Alligator mississippiensis: one gene and its partners. Each later gene encodes a partner of the first gene's protein in a complex. Links are inferred from orthologs where the notes say so. Each region holds a gene or a part of one and is shown in the gene's direction. Other genes may lie near its edges. The genes, in order: FNIP1, LAMTOR2 and LAMTOR4.

Region 1 (7,686 bases):
AATGTCTAAATAAAAAGGTTAAAATGAAGCCACTGTAAAAGTTGTTTCCCACTGAAGAATGTGTTCCATTACTGCATGTGATAGCTTTCTGTGCTGAGACCAGTTCCCATTATGCTAGCTGCTACAAATCATAAGTTCCTTTTTTAAAAAAAACCAACAAATTGTACACATGGGAAGATTTGAACAACTGGTAAGTTTAGTTAGTCTGGCTCCTTAACTGAATTCTACATTTTGTTTCAGCTATGCATCTGGTAAGACTTGCAGGGCAACGCATTTCACCATACTTTATTTTTCATACTAACTTGTTTTTTGAAGTAATGTGATGTCCCAGAGCTGCAGTCAAAAACGAGGACCCCATTGTGCCAGGCATTTCACAAACCCTAAATAAAAGATGTTCAAAGAAGTTACCAGTGCAAGTACGAAACAAGAGAAAACAGACCGATAGAGACTGACAACAGAAGACAAGCAGTAGTTATAGTACATCAAAGGCCTATGCATTGCCCAGTTTTTTTGCAGGCTTTGCTGTAAAAGAGAGTAGAGAGAGAACATTGAGCCTGTCTATGAGGAGCTCTTCCAGGCATGAAGAATACTGTGAGAGAAAATATGAATGTGCTTGCATGAAAATCAAGCAAGTCAATGATGGGGCCAACATCAAAGGCCAACTGGAAGCGAGAGTCAACCTCTCAGCACAGAATGAGATGGGGACAGACTGGGATTTGTGCCTGGAATGGGCAGGCAAATAACATGTGTTTGCAATCAAGAATGTAATCTCATGCAAATGTCATTAGAAGCAAAAGAATGAGTGAACTACAGTGTTGAGAGAAGTTTTGTAGGCAGCCCTACTCTCTAAGGCTGGAGATACCAGCATAAAATTTGACAGAATACACACACAAAATTGTCCAATAGCGCAGTTTCTTGTTATGGGCAGTCACTCATTTGCCTGGAATTTGCAGGACTGGGGAAGGGAGAGGGATTTGGGACTGTTTAGCCCAGAAAAGAGAAGGCTTTGGGGGGATTTGGTGACGGCTTACAAATATATCGGCAGAGAGCATCAGGGGCGATGCGAACAACTATTCACCAAAGCGCCCCAGGGGAAAACCAGGAGCAATAGTCACGCACTCCTAGAAGAAGATTTCAGACTGGATATAAGGAAAAACTTCTTCGTGATTCATGTGACCAGACTCTGAAATAGACTCTCAATGGGGGTGGGTGCAGGCGCCTACCTTGGAGATCTTCAAAAGGAGACTGGATGCACAGGTTGGTGGGTTATTACATCTGTCAGCCTTTCCTCGTAAGGCTTGCTCTTTAGGCCTCTAATCGGATGAATGGCTCTTCTCTGCCTGCCCAGAGCAGGGGGCTGGACCCGATGATCTCACAAGGTCCCTTTCAGCCCGAAACTTCTGTGAATCTGTGATTGAAATTTTTCTTTTCCCTCCATATAGTTGCACTTCTGTAATAATCTCCTTCTTTCCTTGACTCTAATGGAGAGTTTTATTACAAGCAGTCAGTTGCCAGGCCAGCTGTTTCTGTGCCCAGAGATGGAAATTCTCTGCATGCAACAATGTCTGCTCTTGTTCTGTTTGGTTTTTGTCAGAGATTAGGCATTTCCCCATTTTTTTTTTTATTTTTTTTTTTTGCCTTCTGGTAAAAGTGACTGCATTAAATTTCAGTGGAAGTGGAAAGTTGTTCTTCAGTACCAGTGGGTAAAGGTTATAGGTCACAGTCTTACATGGATACTGCTTAACAGATTAACTGAGCATCAGTTCTTATTCAGTGAAGTTAATGAGATGGCTTCATAAATTTTGGCCTTAAATATCTCTCTGAATTAATGTAGTGGAGCCATTTCAGATGAGTCATGTAAGAACTACACTAAAATGATTGAATTGCTGGAAAATGTGTATTTTAACTATTTTTACTAATATAACATATACTAGATATGTTTGGCCTAATACTTATTAGATCTTTATAAGCAAACTAGCTAATTGTCCATCAAGAATGATGGGTTTCAGAGAGTGTTTATATGGCCCCCCATCACCCCTGCTCACCCTTTGGGGCTGGCCATGTAAAAACTCCCGCCACCGCGTTCTCCTCCAGCCTCTGACACGGGGGCTCCCTCCCCCACCCATCTCTGCCTTGCAGAGTGGCTTCTCCCTGCTCCCCTCCTTCCCTCCCCGTCGCCTTTCTCTCCCTGCCGGCTGTTATGGGGGCAGGGGGGGGCGCTACCACTGTGACCCCTCTTCCCTTCTCGCTTCCCTCCCTCCCTCCCTTCCCTGACAACAGCCACCACCATGACCCTCCCCTTTGCCTCCCCCTGCCCCATGCCTGCCTGGGCCCACACAGCCTCTCTCCCTCCCCCCCATCCCTGCCAGCTATTGTCAGGGCCCCCTTCCTGCTCCCCTTCCTTCAATATTAGAATTGAAGGCAAGATGATTCTTATAATCTAAAAATTAAATTACAAAGAACTGGTTTTGATTATAGGTATTCACAGATGGAAGGAAAAGTTCTTCTCCCCCTCCCCCCGCATTATTTCTTTGAGTATTATGGGGTCTTTGTGCCACCAACTTTTATATGTAATAAAGCTTATTGTGTATAGGTGGATATTTCCTTATAGTCCTCTAAAGGCTGAGGATATCTGAGGCCGCAAACCTGTATGCATGTCTGAATGGACAGAACCAGTGAAGTCAAGAGCCGTTGTCTGGGTGTGGCAGTTTGCCTACAGGTAGCTACTTATAAAAGAGAGACCTTTATTAGACTTAATCTTTCTTTAGCAATCTTCAGTGATCTTAGGAAGGGCCCACTGAAGCAATTTTTAGTTTGCAGAGGAGGTGAGATGCAAAATTAGTTTTAAATGACGGCAGGTGCTGCTCCTGAGCCCCTCTGTGGGGTTTCACAAGGATTTTTGGAAATATTAATATGTGTGTGTGTGTATTACTCTCTCTCTATAATACACACACACAGATTTGTATAATTATATACACATTATATATACATATGTATGTGTATGTATAATTATACAAATGTTAATGTATATATACTACATATAGTATATATGTATACTTGTACATAGTATATATGTATATATATTTCCATGTTCATGTATATTCAAGTCTGTCTAATTTAGTTGGTCTAATAAAAGATCTCACATTTACCCAAGCCAGACAAGTTTCTTTGTGTAAATCTGAGATCTTTTATTAGACCAACTCAGATACTTGGAAGAAGTCTTCTTTGCAAACTTTCAGGTACAAACACCCTTCGTCAGGCTGAGAAAGCAGTCGTTCTGTGCTTTTCCTGGATGACATTTTACCCGAAGAACTTTGTCTGCCTATATTCAAGTCTATATTTTCACATGTATACACACATCTACGTATATATCTATATACAGGTTTCCCTCACTTTATGCTGTACATGCGTTCCGGGAAAACGGCGCTTAACTTGAATTCACATATAGGGAACCTACTTTACAATGTAACACATAGGGATATGCTCCAAGACATCAATTGTACTGGCCCCCGGACCCATTTCTACCACTTTTACAAGACCATTTTGGTACTCACCAACAGCAGACAGTGCACACAAGCACAAGGGGGTGGTGAATGTTCATTTAGTGTGAAGAGAGGATGGTGAAGGCTTCATTGATGGACCAGGGAGAGGGGTAGGAAATAAGCTAGTGTATGGGTGACTAGTGCCTCCCGAGTCTGGGGTGGGCGCCAGTGGGTCACAACTGGGGGGGGGGGGGTCCCCCAGCAGCCAGCTGGTGACTGGGGGAGGGGGTGGTATCCTAGCAGCTGGTCACTGAGTGCACCGGTGGCAGAAGTGCCAGCACTTCCACATGTGGCACAGTGGTGGTGGAAGTGCCGGCACTTCTCCTGCCAGCATTTCCGCCGCTGACATGCTGCCGGCAAAGCCAAATTCAGGAGGAACACGAGCACTCTCCATGCCCCGCTACTAGCCGGAGCAGTTGCTGTCAGGGGGGGCATGTGCCCTCCCGGCAACTACAGAAGTGCGTGCGGCAGATGATCAAGGAGCACAGACGTGGGCGACCGGTCCCTCCCGAGTCTGGGGGGGGAGCACCAGATGGCCAATGGGGGAGGGTCCCGCCGCAGCCAATCCCCCAGTGGCTGAGTGCAAAACCACCAGCGGCAAAACTGGACGTGCACTTCTGGTTGTGCAGCCGGCGCCCGTGCACCCTCCGCGCCTCACCTAGGAGCGCACATCCACGCAGGAGACGCAATTTTGGTGCACCTCACCCAAAGCAACTACTGCAGGCCTCCACCTCACCCCTAAGACTATAAAAATGTTTGGTATAAAAAGCCTCCTGGCGTGAGAGCGAATCGGCACGTCCATACACACAGACAGACAGGCTCCTATTCACGCAGCCCGGCAGGCCTCGGGGTGGCGCAGACACGGCGCCTGGGGGGAGGCGAGGGGCGCGCGCACCCCACAAGCAGCGGCGGCGGCGGCAGCACCTGGCTGAGTGCGGACGCCCCTTTCCCGCGCTGGGAGGCGGGGGCGGGGCCTGTGGGGTTGGGGGCGTGGCCCCTCCCCTCGGCCCCGCCTCGCCTCCCGCTGGCAGCGCCGAGTGACTCAGGCTCGTCATATGACCGCGGCCCCGAATGGAGTCGGGCTTGCCGGAGTAGCCGCCACCGCCGCCGCCCCGGGGTCGGGCGCGTCCCGCCATGTCCCCCACGCTCTTCCAGAAGCTCTTCAGCAAGAAGCTGGGGCCGGGCCCGCCCGCCCGCGACCCCCGCGACGACTGTATCTTCAGGTACCGCTGCCCCCCTCGTCCGCCGCCGGGTCTCGGCTCCCCCGCCCCGGGGATGCGCCTCCCGTGAGGGGCCGTGCAGGCGCCATTCCTGGGGCCGGGGGCGGCTGTCCGGGCTGAGCCCCCTCAGGAGGCTGAGGGAAGGGGGGAGAAACCTCCCTGCTCCTGCAGGGGCTCGGCGCTTCCTTACCCGCCCTGAAGTGCAAAGGCAGGCTGTGACCTAAAAAAAACCACTCCCGAGATGAGTTGAAAAGATGGCTCAGGGAAAAAAAGTTTTTTCTTCGCAGGGCTCCCCTCCCAGAGCAGAGCCGAGCCCAGCCGCGCGAGGAAAATAGCAGAGGGACGCCTAGAAAACTTTTTTGCAGTTGACTGTCGTTTTGTAACCAAGCAAAACATCTTTTTTTTTTCCTTTCTCTTTGTGGCGTGGGTAACCCGTGCCGGTTCTGGGGCGTGGGAACATCTCCTCCCCGGTTGATCGTGGTCTCTTTTCCGACTTGCGTTCTCTGAGGTGAGGCAGGGTGAGCGGCTGTAACCGCGGGTGAGCAGGAGGCTGGAGTGATTTCTTTTTGAATCATACCATGTTGCTCTAGTTGCTTCAGCACCTCGCAGTTTTTTCACCGTCAAGCAAATCCGCTGTTTTCCTATAGTCTTACAAAAGTTGGTGGGAAATGTTGGAAATAACGTAGGATCGATTGCAATGGCTGTCAGCCTGTAGCCGACTTTCTGGCCTCTTGGGCGGGGGCTGCACCCCGTGATATTAGGAGGTCCCTTGCAGACCTAACGCCTATGAAATCTACCTTGAAGGGAGTTTGTCGTAGCGGCCAAAGCATCTCCATGCCGTTTTTCCTTCAGAGGGGTTCCCATCCTTTACTGACTTGCTGGATGGGCCACAATACCTTGTTAAAAGAAGTGGCTTGGTGTCACTCTCATACCTGGCACCTGAGTTGGTCAGCTGGGAAAAGGCCGTTTCTTGCTCTGCCAACACACTTCTTAGTGATAAACATTTTATTATGTAGTGTATAACTCACCAGCTTTCGTCCCTACTGCAGGGGAAGGTGACAGTTGTATGTATTTATAAGGAAGACGCCTGAGTGTAACATTTATCTTATGCTCTTTTCTTTTTTGTTAACAGAAAGTTATTTTATTTTTTTGTTTGCTTTTGGGATTTTTTGGGGTTTGTTTGTTTTTTACCCAAACTAGATACGCATCTTAAAAATGACCCTTGCTCCTTTTTCCCCCTCAAATACAATTACGGATGTTTACATGCATATATGAAAGATCAGATGCTCAGGTTAAGTTGTATTTCTAACATACCATTAAATAGAAAAGCATGGGCTATATGGAGTGTCAAAAGGTATCCTGCTGGCCACTTACTAATATAATACTTTATTAAAATATACGTCGCAATAATAAAACTTTTAACAGGCCTGCGGTAAAGAATGCCATGAAAGAAAAAAAATCTCATCGTTGTAGGGAGTGCAAAGACCTTTTGTCTCTTGAAGGATGCTTGAAGTTCCTGTAAGCTGTAAATGGAGGAAATGGATACTTTTAAGTAACGCCTAAGCTGCAGATATTGCACGTGTGCAGAATTGGACCCGTTTTTTCAAATGAGAACTTTGGTTTCTTCTAATATGGGCCAACTGACCATGAACTTAGATATCTAGCTTGTCCTCAATTTTTTTCCCTCCTTTTTTAGTATGTTGACATGAAATTACTATGAAAGAGAAGGATGGTTTTGTGGTTAAAGTACCAGTAGGCAGGAGATCTGGGTTTTATTTGAGTGAGGCATTATTAGTACTAGTTATCATTTTGCTGCAGATATCCATTATACAAGGTGTTTAATTTATTCCATAGGTAATAAGGACATGGCAAGGATTGATAAATACATGCAACTTATGAAGAATGTGGTACAGAAGGAAAAGTTTCAATACGTAGCTGTGATCTTTGTATTAACAAGAGTGGGAGATTGGCTTTTATAATGCTAGGGGCCTACTCAATGAGATGCTTGCCTTTGAGTTTAATGGGAAGAGAGTAAGAGCCCTAAATCTTTACTGGGTTCCTATGCAAGTGGCCCAACTTTTCAAAAACATTTGGCCTCCATCAGTGCCCATCAGCATCACTATTGAAAAAAACAGACCATATGGTTAAGAGAGCAACTTGGGCAACTGTTTGAAAAGGTATCTTGGGCTGGATGTGCTTGAGGGTTGAGATGAAGTTACTGCAGTTTGGGTCTTTTAAAAAAAAAATGTACAACAGACAGTTAAAGAGAACGTTTAAGAGTGATTCTGGTGGGAAGGTACGGGATGCAGTAACTGCTCTGTGGCTTTGGAGTTGCTTAGTACAAGTTACTCATTCTTTCTTGGCTATGTATAGATTTTGCATCTGAGTCAGCCTTGCAGATAAGTTATGAAAATTTAGCGGTGAAGGTACAAATTCTGCTTGCTTTTATGTCCAATATCTTAATTATACCAATATTTTACTTGCTTGTCTCGTGCCAGAAAAGTTTATTTACTGTGACTGAGTATAATTTTGCAAGGCTGATTTAAATCAAACTGTGGGAAGAGCTTCAGAACTGAGTGCGAACAGCAGTTTAAGAGATTTGCGTCCGATAATGAGGCGCCCATAAATTACTAGGTTAGGGCCTGATCCTTTAAGTGGTTCCACACATGAGCAGCTTCACTTACACAAGTGGTTGTATTGTCATCCATTATTGGCATGCATAATGCAGCTATTTTAATGTCGGTACGTGAGGTACTTTACACATGAGAGTGCCTCTCAGCTCCTTGGACTCCTTTAGAAATTGTAGCTGAGATAAACTGGAGAAATGAGAGCAGTGTAGAACGCAGCGCGTGGTTGTTATATTCCTATTATTGGAAAAGTTTTGACAGATTTTGGGGATCATAGATTTTAAATTGATATGCGTC
Region 2 (8,023 bases), on another chromosome or scaffold:
CATCGTCTGTGGGAGGAGAGTTTGGGAAGATCAGGGCAGTTTGCACCATAAAAGACTCCAGCACGCGTTGTTATGGGCTAAACGGCTCGGTAGCATCCTAGAGACAAGCACTGAAATGGTGAAAGCTCAGTCTCAGGCCCACAGGGAAGGATTCAGAGGCAGGTTTCTGGACCTCGACCCTCTCACCCACCTGCCTCATCAGCTCTGGGTTGTTCAGCATGTGGCTGATCTCAGGGTTCCTCTCCATGAGCTGCTGCATTTGGGGATTGGCCATGATCATCTGCCTCATCAGGTCAGGATTAGACATCATGTTCTGCACCAGGGGGTTCTCCATGATCTGGGATAGCATCTCCGGGTTAGACATCAGCTGCCGTTGCATCTGCTGCTGGAGCTCCATGAAGTTGGCGGAGCCCATCCCGAGGTTGCCGAGGCCAGTGATGCCTCCAAAACCCGCTGGAGAGAGACAGACTATCAGGACAAGCACTTTCAGCTGGGAAAAAGAGGGATGCATAGGCTGAACTATACGGGCAGAGAAACCAACCACATCACTCACAGAGGATGGATGCAGGGTTGCTGGGTGCTCCATTTCCAGCACCCCCCGTGGTCCCCGACCCACTGCTCCGCCGGCTGCCACCTCCCCCATCGGAGCCGGCGCTGCTGGACGTGGAAGGCTGAGATGGGGCAGCAGGAGAGGCGGGTGTTGCAGCAGGGGTGGAGGCAGCAGCAGAAGTAGCAGAGGCAGCAGCAGCTGAAGGATCTGGAACCCTAAAGAGAGAAGAGACAGTCACCGCTGCGGCAGGGAAACTCACACAGCCGGTTCCCTTCTGCAGTTCAAGAAAAGAAGCTGGGAGTGACCACCTCCGGTCAAGGGGGATGTAGAGCCATCACATCCAAAACAACCTGCTCTCACCCAAGGCAATGAGAAGAGAAGCGATGTTGGTATATACTTAACTCAGTCAACGCACCTCAGAGAAGACTGGTCCCTAAGCAGGCACTGACTTTTGTGTTATATATCAAAAAAGCAACTAGTTGGTTACCAGCATTCTTGACCCATTTGACTGCACCATGTATAACAGGCTTTTACACCACATATAACAGAGATGGGCTTTCCTCTGTGGCTGCAGGGAACAGGACTAGGAACAATGGCCTTAAGCTGCAACAGGGCAAGTTAGGCTGGAGATGAGGAGGAATTTTTTGACTTGGAGGGTGGTCAAGCACTGGAACAGGCACCTAGAGAGGTGGGGGAGTCTCCATCCCTGGGAATGTTTAAGGGCAAGTTGGACAGACACTGGGCTGGGATGGCTGAGTCTTGCTGGGGTTATTTGACCCCAGTGGTCTTTCCTGCCAAGAACAGGAGGACTGGACCCAATGATCTCACGAGGTCCCTTCCAGCCCTAAACTTCTGTGAATATGAGTCAGGGCTGATCCTGCCTTGAGCAGGGGGCTTGACTAGATGACCGTATAAGGTCCCTTCCAGCTTGACTTTCTCATGTTCTTTTCTCTTCAACCAACAGGGCATATTATAAGTAGAAATGGGAGAGAAGCAAGGCCCTGATGCTGCAGAAACTTGCACCCAAGCTTAGTCAGATCCATGAGCAAGCTTGTTAAGGTTAAGAGGACACACCCACACTGGCAGGGTGAGAAGCCATTTGCTACCACAGCTGTTCTAGCTTTGCTAGTTTCCCTTCCTCATTTCTCTCTCTCACACAGCAATGGGAGGGAAAGGACACTTTAAAACCCAAAAGCAGTTAAAGTCCCAATCCCCAATGGGAAGGTGGGCATGAGCCCTGGAACTACCAGCAACTCATCTGAAAAAGGGGGCTACAGTGCATATCAATGCCATTATGAATGTGGAACCATCAGGTGGTTTGCAAATGATGCCCCCTTCCCATAAACTGGCCATTCAACCACAAAGAAGGGTTAATACCTTCCTTGCCCGCTCGGCAAGAGAACCTGCTGCCCCCAGTACCTGAACAGACTGCAGGGAGGTAGCTCCTTGCACTGAGCAGAAAGGAAGGCTGACTGCCTTTCTAAAAGGAGAGACAAAAACCTTATGGGAAAGCTGTGAGTGCGGGGGGAAAGCAATGAGACTGGGAAAGGAGAATCTGCAGAGGTGGCCCTTAAAGGGGTTGAAACTGCAGATGGGCAGTGTCTTGGAAAGAAATCACAGCTGGCCAGCTGCTTTGAAAGCCTTTCTCCCCTTGCAGCCTGCCGAGATCTCTCTGCCATCCACCTCCATTCGCTCAGCCTCCCCTCCAAAAGCAGCTGAAATAGAGCATGCCTAGCCAGCTGCTGTGAGATGCTTGCCCTAGGAAAAATACTTCAGAATAACTACCCAGGGAGCAGGCTTGCGGCTACCGGGAGCACAGAAATTGTTGGATGAGGATTTTTTTGCCTCCATGGAACTTTCCATGGCAATTTTTAATCCCAAGCATTTTACAAACTAATTTCGCTGCTACCACAGCAGCGGCTGCAGTCAGGGAGACTGGGGAGAAGCCAAGCAGATGGGAAATAGGAAGTTTAATAAAGAAAAAAAAAGAAGAAAGATCAGGGTCACTTGGACTCTCTCAGCACAGGAAGGAAAGGCTGCGATGCACACATGCTGGTGACCATTAGAAAGACAAAAATGAATGATGGGCCAGTTTTTAGTTTACCCCAGGAGACAGTTTGCAAGTGCTGAAGTTTATCGCGGAGACAGCGGGAAGCAGCATGGCATCAGCACGCTCCGTGCACAGGTACTGTTCTGTACAAAAGCCTCCAACAGTAGCTGACAATTCGTGTGGCTTCAGAAAAGAGGTACTGATTTTTAATAAGCCAGGGAGGAGGCGCTCCTGGTGGGGGACAACACAGCTTCAAAAGGAGCGTGAGCCTGTTTAATGACGCCCACTGCTCAGATGGAAAGACGAGTCCCAGGAATGGTGGGAAAGGGCCGTTAGGAACAAGGAGGCCTGCTTGCATCTGTAACGCGGCAACGGCACCAGGAATCATTAGACAACTATAACTTAAGAGTCACCCAGCAGCAGCTTTCCAGTATGTTGATCTACACCCCATGTCTCTGGTCTGCCTGAAAGGTTACCCCCAAAAACGTCGTTACGTGCTCTTGATAATACCCTACACTCACTGAACGCCTCTTGCTGAAAGATCTCCCAGCGCACAGGACGGCCGGACCCCGCAGCCACGGGGACCCTGGAGCGCAAGGTTTTGGCTTCACATGGCTGTGAGCAAGTGAAATAATCTCCATATCCGCCCTGTCACCCGGAGAAATCCCTGCTTTAATAGGTTCTTACACGCAACAACTAATACTCGTAAGATTTCAAAGCACGTCAACTCTGCAAAGCTTTATGAAACCCAGGAGCCCGGGAGCCAAGACCCAATTAGAGCAAAGTCCCGCAGCCCCCCGAATTTGAACTCGTACGCTTGACGGCCAGGAACTCACAAACACGCGGCGTCATTTCCTAAAACCCCGGGAAAGGACGATTTCTTACTTCTGTGGGGTCTTAATCACCAAGTGCACAGTCAGTCCATCTTTGATCCCGTGTTGGCTCAACGTGTCTCCATCCTTCAGGATCTTCCCCGCAAAGATCAGAACCAGCTGATCCTGTTTGGCTTTAAACCGCCTGGAGATTTCTTCTTTGAACTAGGGACAAAGACAAAAGGAGGCAATTCTCAGGCCGAGGCGCTTTCCAGTCTGCCCGAGAGGCTACAGGAGCGCTGGGAACAAGCCTTCGCGCGGTCCGAAGGACACCGGGCAGCATCCCCGGGGCCGAGCTGGTTTCTGAGGTGGTTCAGGGGGCGACGGTGCATCCTTCGCCCGTTCGGCTCGTGCAGGCGAGCTTTGCAAGAGCAGAGCGCAACGGCCTTAACGTGAAAAGCAGCTACGCCGAGGATTACGGGCCCCGTTTACACCGGATCATCGCCGCTGGCCGGCACCGCAGAAAGCATGCCGGAGCGAAGCAGGCGGCCCCGTTTCTGGCTCCGACTCCCACGAGGACGCTCGGGTTTTGAGCCGACGGCCTCGCGGCGCCGCGGGAGGACCATCCCGTCCGCGGGAGGCTGCCCCGGCTCGGCACGTCCGCCCGTGAAGACGCGGCTCCGAGGACAGGCCCGGCTCCGCCTCGTCCACACGCGCCCGCCTGGCCATGCGCCGCTCGCCCCCGCGCCCCCCCGGCCCGAGCCCCGCGTCCTGGCTCGGCGCCCCCGCCCCCAACCCGGCCACGGCCTGCTCGCGGGGCGACCCCCCCGCCCGGGGCAAAACCTCCCGCGCGGCCCTGGCCCTACCCCCGCCCCCGCCTCAGGGCCCCGGGCCCAGGCCGCACCTCGCGCACGGAGGCGCCGTCGCCGATGACGATCTCCTCCTTGTCCTTGGGGGTCTTCACCGTGACGCGGATCAGCGCCGCACCCGGCCCCGGCTCCGCGCCCTCCGCGCCGGGCCCGCTCGGCTCCGCCATCTTGGCCGCCCGCCCCGGCCCGGCCCGGCCCCGCCCCCCGCCCAGGAGAGCGGCCCCCGGCGGCGCGGGGGGGGGCGCGGGGAGCTCGGCGCCCCCTGGCGGCGCGGCGGGGAACTGCGGGCGAGGGGAGGTGGAGTGGAGGGGCTTGGTGGGGAGACTGAGGCTGTGCATGCCCCTTGCGGGGGGAACTGAGACACACTGTGTGTGTGCATGGGGGTATGCATGCATCTGGGTGGGGAAACTGAGGCACGCTGTGTGCAGGGGGTATGCATGCCCCTGGGGGGAGAGGCGTGCTGGATGTGGGGAAGGGTATGCATGGCCCTTGGTGACTGTCTTGAGCTCCATGAGCCCCCCTCCCCTCTCAATCCTCGCAACTCTGCTCCGTAAGTGACACAGGGGAAACTGAGGCACGGAGAAGCTGCTCTGAAAAAGGGGCTAGCTTCTGGGTAGCCAGGGGCTGATTGTCCCTAAGGGCTGCCAGCTGGAGAGCTCACACCCACCCACCGCCCCTTCCCCAGGCTCAAGGCGGTTGCAAAGGAGCTGTAAAATGCTGCAGCCAGGCCGGAGGGAAGCTGACCTGGATGTGGGGATTAATCAGAGCATTCATTTCTCTGTTTTCACATCACCAGCTCCCAAATGTAAGTAGCGGTGGGGTGCGAAGGGGGTTGATCTCATGGCTGTTTGGGAGCGTCTGTGCTGGAGATGCAGCCGTGTTGTGCCTGCCATGGGGTTAAAGCAGGATTTTGGTCTTGTTAAGATAGAAATATATATTTCAGTGTATGTGTGCCTATCTATCTATCTTGCTCCTGACCCTCAGCCCCTGCCCACCCCCAGGCCATGCTGGTGCCTCTCACTCCCAACCCGCAGCCCCCTAGCGCTGCCTCCAATTGCCCTTCGCCTGCTCCTCCCAGCCCCAAACAGCTCCTTGCTGGGAAGTGCCAAGGGGGAAAAAAAAAATGATGCTGAGTAGAGCAAAATCCCAGATATTTGTTCATATTTTTAAAAAACTGCCTGGACAGAGGACCCAAAACGAGGACGTGTCTGGGAAAACCCGGACATATGGTAACTCTAAGCAATGTTTCTGCTTTTTAAAAAGGGAAACTGAACTGAGCTGGCAGGGCTGGGGGGTGGACAGCAAGATCTTTGTGTGGGCCATGTGCCTAGCTCCTGTCCTGGAGGTTGCCTGCAGCTGCCTTGCAAGCCTGAGTTGCTGGCAGGGCCATGCAATGCCTGCGCCTGTCGCATGTGGGCCTGACTCGGCAGAAGCCAGGCCAGGACTACAGCTCCCAGGCTGCTCCGGGCGCCCAGGGGCCATCAGCTGATGGGGAAGCAGAGCTCAGAGCTGTCTGCCTTCCTCTCCTCCCTGCTGCAGGGCCAAGAGCCGTGCGGTGGTGACCATGCTGCGCCCCAAAGCCCTCACCCAGGTGCTGAGCCAGGCCAACACCGGGGGGGTCCAGAGCACCCTGTGAGTATGGGGGAGTCGGGGGGTGGCTGGATGAAAGGGGTCTCCAAAGCCTGGGGCACAGCTCAGTACCTCTGAGCCTCCTTCCTCTGTACTCTTCCTAATTCAGGATAGAAACAGGCACCACTTGGTTTCCATCCCTGCCAGGAGCCATATAATGCAGCCTAGTGTGCCGTAAAAAGCAGTAATCCAGCCTAGCCCCTAAATCCTGTCTTCTCCCTGCCCAGGGGGGCTGGGGCACTAGCTTGCAGGACTAGCTGCATTGATGTGCCTGTGCATGGTTTGCTGAAGTGCAACCAGGCTCGTTCCAGCTCTGCCCGTTCTTGCATGCATTGACGTGAGACACTGCTAAGGGCACAGGCAGACAAGTTTCTTTAGGTAAATTTGATTTATTGATTGATTTTTATTATTCAACCAGTTAAATGCTTGGAAAAAATTTGTTTTTGCAAGCTTTTGGGTATAAACACCCTTCTTCAGAAGCTCGCAAAGAACAATTTTTCCAACTATTTCGTTGGCCAAATAAAAGATAACACGTTTACCCAAAGAACCTTGTCTGCCTATGTCCTTAGACCGACACGGCTACAACCAACAGCCTTAAAGCTAAGGGCATAGGAATCTTTTCCCACCTCCCCAGTTGCACCCCAGAGCCAAAGATGCCTTGGCTTCCTTGCATTTCAAGGTTGCTGCAACAGGCAGGAAGAAAACATACCATCAGGGGCGCGGGTCCTGGAGCTGGTGAGGTTGCCTGGAGCTGGGTAGATGCCGATCTTCTTTATGGCTAAGAGCCCCAGCTGGACAAAGCCTCAGCTGGGATGATGTAGTTGGGGCTGGTCCTGCTTTCAGCAGGGACATGGACCAGATGTAACCTCCTGAGGTCCCTTCCCACCCTCTTTTTTTTTATAATGTAAACCCCAAGGCTTCTGTAGCTTTTATGTAGGATGCCTGCCTGGATTTGGGGAGCTTCTGAAGCCCCAGACCGATAGGTCCAGGAAGGAGGACACTTGCCCAGTGGTAGAGTCACGCAGACTTGACAATTGAGCTTTGCTCAGTTGAATCTTGATACTTGATTATTGGGCTTTCACGATTGAATTTGGAAAGGATTCGGCCTTGAATAATAATAATAAGACGGTGATCTTCTTTCACACATGGGGTGATGCACTTACAGCTGAAGGTATAACCTGCCTGGGTGGTATTGTGTTAAAGGGAGGGGAGGGTGCTGGTTACTTCCCTCTTGGGGTGGAGGGGTCACACTTGGGATACTTGTGACTTTGGAGAGGCTGCGTGGGACCCTGGGGGCTGTGCATATGGGGGTTCAAGTCTGTCTCCTCCCTGCATCTCCTTTCCAGGCTTCTGAACAACGAGGGCTCGCTGCTGGCATATTCTGGTTACGGAGACACAGACGCCAGGGTCACAGCTGCCATCGCCAGCAACATCTGGGTGGCCTATGACAAGAATGGGCACCAGGCTTTCAATGAAGACAATTTGAAGTTCATCCTGATGGACTGCATGGTACCTGGGTTGGGGGTGGGGGTGTCGGTGGACTCCTGGCAGGAAGGTGGGATAAACCCAGGCAGCTTGAACATGAGATCCTGGCACCCAGTGGGTGGCTTCTTCCTGCCTTGGTTTCTCCCATCTGTAAAATGGGTCTGGTATGTGCCTTGTTGTGGGGACCAGTGAGCTTTATTCAAGTGTTTTGAGATCTCCCTGATGGAAATGCTAATTGTTGGGAAGTAGAACATCAAAACAGGGGAGCACTTTGCACCTGCCACTTGGAGTAAAGGGTGTGGGTGTGTAAACATCAGCTAAAACAAGGCCCAGGCTTACAAGTGTGACCTGACTTTGGCATAGCGTAAAGGACTGCATACAGGCAGTAGCAGCATCGAGCACTCTTCATCCGTAGACCTCAAACCACTTGACAGGCCAGCCTCAGTCTTGCAGATTGAGGGGAAACTGAGGCACAGAAAGGGGAAGGGCCTGGTTGGGCTGCTTTGCAGGCCCTTCTCAAAACAGGAGTAAAATCTGAGTCGAGGGCCCTTAACCCCTCTGCCACGCTATCTTCCCAACGACTCCTTGGTATCTTGATGAGGGAGAGCAGGGCCTCGAGATGCCGCGA
Region 3 (7,844 bases), on another chromosome or scaffold:
GACCATGCTGGCAACCTCAACCTCTTCCCTGCGGCCGAGCTGCTCGTGGGCTTCGACCGCAGCGCGCCAGGCGCTGACCAGTACCTGCCTGTGGGGCTGGTGGAGGGTCGGCCGCATGCCCTGGACCCTGGGCACGTGGAAGTGGTGGCCACACCGGGCCACGTGGCCGCCCACACCAGTGTGGTGGTGCGGGGCACAATGCTGGGCACTGTGGTGGTGGCTGGGGACCTGTTCGAGCGGCATGGGGATGAGGATTCCTGGCAAGGGCTGAGCGAGGACCCAGCGCGGCAGGAGCACAGCCGCCAGTGGGTGCTCGGCTTCGCCGATGTGGTGGTACCTGGACATGGTGCCCCCTTCCGTGTACTGCGGGGGGATGGGGGGGGTGCCAAAGAGCCTGGGGGGGCAGAGGGGTGATGGCAGAAGGACCCAGGCATCTGGGCCCCCAGCCCCTCTGCTCTCACCCCCCAGGTGTCTGAGCGGCAAATAAACACCATAGAATTGAGCTGTTCTGCCTCTCTTGGGGGGGGGGGGGGGGAGGGCTGCGGTGCAGCACTGAGGTGGGGGAGGGCTGTGGTCGGCAGCAGGGTCTCTGTGAGGGTACTGAGGGGAGGGGGTGGGTGGCGATGGGAGGGTCCCTCCCAGGCTGGGAATGGAGGAGCCAGAGTGGGGAGAGAACCCAGGCATCCGGGGCTGCTTCGGTGCCAAAAGGGCTGGGGGCCTCCAGGACTCCTGAGGGGGTTGGGGTTGACCTAGGGACACAGACACAAGCATGATAGTGAGGGCTAGGCCACACGCATGTGTCCTGGACCTGTGGGGCCCACATGTGTGTCTGTGCCACCAGGTTGGGGCATGTCCTGGACGCCTGCGTTCTGCATGTGCAGATAGCACCCCCCCACCCCCTGGGCCTGGGGGCAGGGTTCAAGGGGCTGCTCCACCCTGTAACCAGGACCTGAGCAGACCCAGATGCCTGGGTTCCACAGGAAACCCCTGGTCCCTGCCCCAATCGATCGAGCCAAGGCCTTGATGGCAGGTCACAGCTCAAGGCCACAGCACCTGGAGCTCCTAGACCCCGGACTCCTGGGTTCTCTGGGGTGGGAGGGGCTGAGGAGTGAGAGCAGGGGGCTGGAGACCTGGATGCCTGGGCTCTCTGGGAGCAGCTGGTGGGGGGGGTGCCCAGGCCCCAGCCCCTGGGTTGTCTGTGGGTGCCTCCTCCCTACCTGTTCCCCCTGGTCCACAAGTTGAACCCAGGGCTGTAGGGCAAAGGTGGCATTTATGGGGCCTTAGCCCTGAGAACAGAAAAGCTTGTTAAATAATCAGTGTCATAACTTGTGTTGTCTACCCCCCTTGCACCCCCCGCCAATCAGGAACCCAGGTATGTGGGGTCCCAGCCCCTGCCCCCCCAGGTATCTAGGCCCCTCTACTCTCACCCTCCAACCCCTCCCCTCCCACAGAACCCAGGCATCTGAGCCTGGGGGAGCCTCCCTTCATAGCCCCCCGCCCCCGCAGTTGCTATCTTGCCCGTGGGGCAAACTCCAGGAGCAGCCACACCCGCCCCCAACCTATATATTCCGCAGCCCCAGCAGGCCCCGCAGCCACCATGTGCCCCGGGGCCTGTTCGCGGGTGTTGGGAGCCGCGCTCTGTCCCCTGGCTGTACTCTGCGCCATCTGCAATGTGCTGCTCTTCTTCCCCAACTGGGAGACCCAGTTTGTGCATGGCGGTGGCGCCCACCTCACCCCGGAGGTGATGTACATGGGTGGCCTTGTTGGCGGCGGCCTGTTGGTACGAGGGACGCTGGGCAGATGGGGAGGGACTGGGAGCTAAGCCAGGGGATGCGGGGTGCAGGCCAGACCAGGGTCTTTGCCCTTCTCTCTTCTCCTTCCAGATTGTGATCACCGCCATCCACTTCCAGGCAGCTGGGCATCGGGGCTGCTGCGGGAACCGCTGCGGGGTGAGAGACCCCTGCCCTAAATCAAGGGGCTGGGGTTTGGGTGTGAGGGGCACCAGCAGGGTGGGGGAGGGGCTGCAGGTCAGGAGTGAGGGATACTGGGGGCGCAGGGGCTGCAGGGCAGGAGTGAGGGGCACCGGATGGCTTGATCCTGATCCTGCCCCCACCCCTGGCTAACAGCCCTCCCCTGCCCCTGCAGATGTTCCTGTCCATGCTGATGGCGGTGCTGGGCATAGGGGGTGCGATCTATGCCATGACGGTGTCGGGGCTGGCACTGGTCCGCGGGCCCCTGTGCCAGTATCTCCTGCCCGAAGGCAACCTCTCAGATTGGGGACGGCCCTTCCAGGGCCCACCCTGGAAGTCCGACGATGATGATGACTTCAGGTTGGGGGGGCGAGGGTTGGGAGTGAGGGGCACCGGTGGGGGGGCTGGAGAGGCAGGGGATGCGGGTCAAGAGTGAGGGGCACTGGCTGGGCTTTGGGGGCCAATCCAGGGTGACCCCCTACCCCCCGCAGGAAGTCGAGCTACCTGTTCCACCCGGAACTCTGGGGGAAATGCCACAACCCGCCGGACGTGGTGAAGTTCAACATCATTCTTTTCTCACTGATCCTGGGGGGAGCCGTGCTGGAGCTGCTGCTCTGCACTGTGCAGTTCTTCAACAGCTGTGCTGGCTGCATCTGTGGCCCCCGGCTCCGCAAGCGCCCTGTGAGTGCCTCTTATTCCCAGCAGGCCCCACCCCAGAGCCAGCCACCCTGCAGGGCTGGCCGCGGGCTGTGACAGGGACAGATGGGGACTCACCTCCTTCCTTTCTCTTTCAGGCGACGCAGCACTGAGGTGCACTGGAGCCGCACCCCCAGCTCCAGACCCACATGGGTACCCAGGCATCCAGGGTCACCCTAAGCACCATGGACCCAGGACGACTTTGGGAAGGGAGTACGGGGAGGGGGTCCTGCTGTACCTTGCTTGTGGCTCCAATAAAGCCCAGGACAGGGCCAAGGGTCGTGTGGTGCCTGTGGAGAACGAGGGGGGATTGATGGGGGGTGGGAAGGAAGCTGTGACCTACCCGCTCCCTGACTGGAGCCCCTCACTCCCATCCCGCAGCTGTGCCAGCCCAAGTGGTGCCCCTGACCACCGACCCCCCAGCCCTGCAAATGCCCCTTACTCCCAACCCGCAACCCCCAGCTCAACAAGTGCCCCTCACTCCTGCCCCGCAGCCCCACCTCCATCCCCACCCCCACCAGTGCCCCTCACTCCAGACCTGCAGCCCCACCTCTCCTGCAGCGGGGGGGAGGGGGTGGGCAGGAAGTCACAGCTCAGCTGTTGGCCTGGCTGTGCTGTGTGGCTGTGGCAGTCCTGTCGCCCGCTCTGCCCCGAGCCATTGGCGGGGGGTCACAGAGCTTGGAGCCCCCCGAGGCGGGTAGGTGACTGCGGGGGGAAGTTGGTGGGGGGCATCCCGGACACCTGGGTTCTGTGTGTGCTGTGGGAGAGCAGGGAGCTGCCTCTCTGGGTCCTGTTCAACCCCCACAACTCACCTCCATGGAGCTGGGCTGGGGCAGATGTGGGGGTATCAAGGCTGGAGAAGGGGGCAGTGCCCTAGTGGGACCTGAGCTGAGACCTGAAGGACTCGTTCCATGTACACTTGGGGGATATCAGAGCTACAAGTACCCCCACCAGCTACTGGAATCTCTGGAGAGGGAAGGCCCCTGCCCTGCCCCCCCATGCAGTGCCCCCCAGGACACCTGGATCGGGGCCTGGCAGGGACTGCCCCCCCCCCGCCCCTCCCCCACTGTACAGATCTGGTGACAGGAACTCTTTATCAGCCCCACTCAGCAGTAACGACGGCGGCCTGTGGTGGCCTGTGGCTACAGGAAGGGAACCCAGGCATTTGGGTGCCCAGCCCCCCCTGCTCTCACCCCTCAGCCACTGCTGTCCTAGAGAACCCAGGCATCTGGGCTTCCCACTCTGATGTGCAAGACTCCACTTCTTCCCCTTTGAAACTGGAACTAAAGGATAGGAGCTGGGTCCTCTCCCTGCTGTCTAAGAGGGGATAAGGGATGGCTGTGAGAGAAGTGGGGGCTGGGAGCCCAGACGCCTGGGTTCTGCAAGGGGCTGGGCTTAGAACAAAGCCTGGGAGCCCAAACACCTACAGCTGGATTTAAGACAAGGCCTCGCTTCCACACAACCCCAATTATATTGCCGAGGGGCAAGGCACACACCTCAGCTGCCTCTTCCTGGGTGGGGGCTATAAAGGGGCGGCCCTGGGGGCAGGAAAGACTCATTAAAGGTAGAAGTTTTGACCTGGGACCAGTAGGTTACTGGGAGAACTGGGAAGGGGGCTGTGGGTTGGGAGCAAGGGGCACTGGCAGGGCTGGGGGGGCAGTCCAGGGGGGTCCCCATTGTCTCGAATCCCCCCCCCCCACTCCAGGCCCCGCGATGGCTGCAGATCCTGAAGACAGCTCCGTGCCGCTGTTGCGGGACCCTGAGGATTCCCCTGTGACCCTTGCCCTGACCTGTAAGTGCCCCCTGTCCCCCCTGGCTGACCCCTGCCCCAGGCTCCTCCTGACCCTGTGTCTCTTCCAGGCCTGGGGAAGCTGGTGCTGTCGGCGCTCCCGGTCGCCTGTGTTGCGGTTGGTGAGTCCAAACCCCTCAATGGGGCAGTGCAGATCCCCCCTTCTGCCCCCTCACTGACCCCACGCTCCCCCAGGGGCTGTGTACCTGCGGCAGTGTCCCTGCCAGCCCCTGGTGCCCGTTTACCTGCTGGGCATGGGGGTCGTGGCCCTGCTGAGCCTGATGCTGACCTGCCTGCCCTGTGGCGATGGGGCTGAGCCGCCCCCAGTGAAGCCTGGAGTCTGGGGCTGCCATGCGCTCTTCCTCCTCTTCCTCTTCGCCTGGTTCATCGCTGGTGAGTCACAGGCCCAGATGCCTGAGTCCACTGGGGAGAGAGGGAGTGGGATGTTTTGACCTTTGATCTCTCAGTGGCAGCCCTCTCATAGGGCTGCTTGTATACCAGGCCCCTCTAGCTTGCATTTCCCACCTCTCCAGCAGTGACCTCTGACCTCTTGTGGCCTTCCCTGACCCGTTACCTGCATCTTCCTAGCTAGCTGTGACCCCTCAAAGTCCCCCCTAGCAATAACTTCTGATCCTTTCTAGACCCCCATCTCAATGTTCTAGCTAGCTGTGACCCCCTTGATTTCCCCCCTAGCAGTAACCCCTGACCCCTTCCTGACCTCCAGAGCTGGGTATGACCCCGTCGCACTTCCCAGTTCCTATCTAGTTGTGACCCCTTGAAATTCTCTCTAGAAATGACCCCTTCCCAGTTGGGTGTGACCCCTGACTCCCCACCTACATCTTCCCAGCTAGCTGTGACTTTGTGAACTGCCCCCAGCAGTGACCTCTGGCCCCACCCCAGGCAGCCTGACTCTGCCCCTGCATGACCACTGACCCTTGCCCTCCCATGACCTCTACCCCACAGGCAACGTGTGGGTATACTCCATCTACCCACCGGAGTACGTAGCCATTGGGAACCCACACTTTTGCCACCGTGGCCTCTACCTCTTTGCCTTCTGGCTGACCACGGGTGCCTACATCGCGCTGGGCCTGGCGCTGCTGCTGGCCCTTGGAGCCACTGCCTGCCTCCTGCTGCTGCGCACTCGCCTGCCCTGGGCCCGCCACGCCGACTACCCCTAGGGGGTCAGGGATTGCTGGTCACTGTGTGCAGAAAATGGGACCAATAAATCAGTAAGAAGCCTAGGCCTCTGAGGCAGTATCCCCTAGGGCTCCCATGCGTTTGCCCACACTCCCATGATCCCCTGGGGTAGCAGCCCCCCTCGTCAACCTAACAAAACCCTGTTAAAGGGTGTCTGCAGGTCCCCCTGCACCCGGGTCTGGGGGAGGCAGGGTCCCGAGTATGTACCAGTGGCATCCACGTCCACGATAATCCCCTGCAGTGCCACAGGGGCTGGGACCGCGGCAGGTGGCAGGGAAGGAGAAGAGGGGTGAGAGGTGCCTGAGGGCAAAGAGCCCCCAGCCCAGTGCTGCTCTAGGAGGTCTTGGGGGTCCTAGTGCAGCTTGCACAGGCTATGTACTGAGGGCCAAATCTGGCAACACGACACAGCCATGGGGCTCCCATTCTGGTGGCACCACAGGGCAGCAGGGCCTCGCTGCAGGGGGCACCGGCCACCTGCCTAGAGGACAACTCCGCCTCCAGCACTGCTTCCAGGGCCATGGGGCTGGGGTGCCTGTGACGGTTAGTGCCCATGGGCCCTGCTGCATCCTGCAGGAGACAATGGGGGTCACAGGGTTGCTGGGCACTGGGACCCTCCAAGCACCAAAGGCCAAGGAAACCCAGGCATCCAGTCTGCCAGCTCTCACCCCTGCAGCCTCCCCTCACCCCCTCCCACACAGCTCAGGTTTCCGGGCTCCCAGACACTCATCCCCCAGCCACCACTCCCTGGCCAGGAGACCCCTGGCCCCAGGAGTCTGGGTGACAAAACCTGGCAGTTTCCCATAACTCGGGCACTGTGGATAGGATCTGACACAGGCGCCACCCTTGTTAAGAGGAGCTGTGGCAGGCAGGGTTGTCCCTCGGGGAGGGCGAATCGGGGTGACCACCCTGGGTCCCGCGCTTTGGGGGGCCCCGCAGAGCTGGGTGGAGCAGTGGTGGCGTAGAGTCGGGCGGAGTGGTGGCTCCGTGTCCAGTCATTTGCTATCCCCTGCTGCTGCTGTAGCTTCTGCTGGGCCTGGGCCAGAGTGGGGGTGGGTCCCTGCATGGGCTGATTTCCCGTGGGCCCCACACCCTGTTTGGGTCGCCTCTGGTGGCAGGATGTGCCGGGCCAGGCTGGGCTGGACTTTCCTATTCCACTTTTTCCCACTCCCTCGTGCACACGCAGCCCTCTGTCTCGTGGCACGTCGACCTCTCCATACGACACGACACTGTTCTGCAGCACCTCCAGCAGCAATGCGCTTTTTGTAGAAAACACTGGGTAAATCGAGACTCCCTGATGAGAGATTTCAATCCCAAATTAAATCATAATTTCAATGGATTTGATCAAATCCATCCTGCCGGTGCAGGGGACAACACAAGCACCTGGGACCCTTCACGCATGGGGAGAGAACCTAGGCATCTGGGCCCCCCACAGACCCCATACCCCTTCCCCCCACAGGCTGATGGCCAGACGCCGGTGTCTGCGCTGCCAGGCTGTGCCCCTGCCTGCGTACGCCCTGTGGCTGCACCACTTGTCAGTGACGTTTTCGGCTGCACCTAACAAAAATAGTCGATGATGTTAATCTTCCTTGTAGCGGTGCCGATGAGGCACAGCCGATGCCCTTGCACAGCTCGAGCCCCTTTCCCAGGCCTGGGAGGGGGTCTGCGGCTGGGTTCCCGCGGGTTGGAACAGGAGAGCGGGGGGGAGGAGTGAAAGTCCCCCGGCTGCGCTCCCATGATGCCCTGGGGCTCCTGTGCCCTTAGCTGCACTCCCAGAATGCCCTGGGGCAGGAGTCCTACTTACCCACACTCCCATCATCCCCAGAGGCAGGAAGCTGCCTTGGCTGCATTCCTGTGATTTAGCTGCATTCCCATGATGCCCCGAGACAGGAGCCCCCCTTGCTTGCACTCCCATGATCCTCTGCGGCAGGAGCCCCCTTGCCCGTACTCCCATGATGCCCTGCAGCTGAAGCCCCCTTACTCGCACTTCCAAGATACCCCAGGACAGGAGCCCCCCCCCAGCTCCTTGCCTGCCCTCCCGTGATGCCCTGCGGCAGGAGCTCCCATGCCCGCACTCCCGTGATCCTCTACGGCAGGAGCCCCCTTGCCCGCACTCCCATGATGCCCCGCGGCCGAGCCCTGCCCCCAGAACCCGGAAGCGGCTGCGCGTCCGGGCCCCGCCCCCCAGGAGGACG

The links.
Region 2: FNIP1 (region 1) and LAMTOR2 share a complex: the UniProt entries of both Homo sapiens proteins name them as parts of the lysosomal folliculin complex. The link is inferred for Alligator mississippiensis from reciprocal best matches to the Homo sapiens genes FNIP1 and LAMTOR2.
Region 3: FNIP1 (region 1) and LAMTOR4 share a complex: the UniProt entries of both Homo sapiens proteins name them as parts of the lysosomal folliculin complex. The link is inferred for Alligator mississippiensis from reciprocal best matches to the Homo sapiens genes FNIP1 and LAMTOR4.

What each region holds. Positions count from the first base shown.
Region 1 is NC_081832.1:68,196,484-68,204,169, forward strand, and holds the start of FNIP1 (folliculin-interacting protein 1), read left to right. Parts: upstream 1-4,593; 5' UTR 4,594-4,676; coding exon 4,677-4,765; intron 4,766-7,686. UniProt on the Homo sapiens protein: Binding partner of the GTPase-activating protein FLCN: involved in the cellular response to amino acid availability by regulating the non-canonical mTORC1 signaling cascade controlling the MiT/TFE factors TFEB and TFE3.
Region 2 is NC_081838.1:17,227,784-17,235,806, forward strand, and holds the start of LAMTOR2 (ragulator complex protein LAMTOR2), read left to right. Parts: upstream 1-5,001; 5' UTR 5,002-5,084; coding exon 5,085-5,086; intron 5,087-5,820; coding exon 5,821-5,913; intron 5,914-7,256; coding exon 7,257-7,419; intron 7,420-8,023. Other genes in the region: UBQLN4 (ubiquilin-4), read right to left, coding at 1-6, 191-453, 554-765, 3,486-3,637, 4,317-4,448. UniProt on the Homo sapiens protein: As part of the Ragulator complex it is involved in amino acid sensing and activation of mTORC1, a signaling complex promoting cell growth in response to growth factors, energy levels, and amino acids.
Region 3 is NC_081838.1:23,516,277-23,524,120, reverse strand, and holds the start of LAMTOR4 (ragulator complex protein LAMTOR4), read left to right. Parts: upstream 1-4,764; 5' UTR 4,765-4,806; coding exon 4,807-4,848; exon of another isoform or gene 4,849-4,878; intron 4,879-5,418; exon of another isoform or gene 5,419-5,684; intron 5,685-7,844. Other genes in the region: MBLAC1 (metallo-beta-lactamase domain-containing protein 1), read left to right, coding at 1,884-1,949, 2,146-2,330, 2,462-2,651, 2,765-2,779. UniProt on the Homo sapiens protein: As part of the Ragulator complex it is involved in amino acid sensing and activation of mTORC1, a signaling complex promoting cell growth in response to growth factors, energy levels, and amino acids.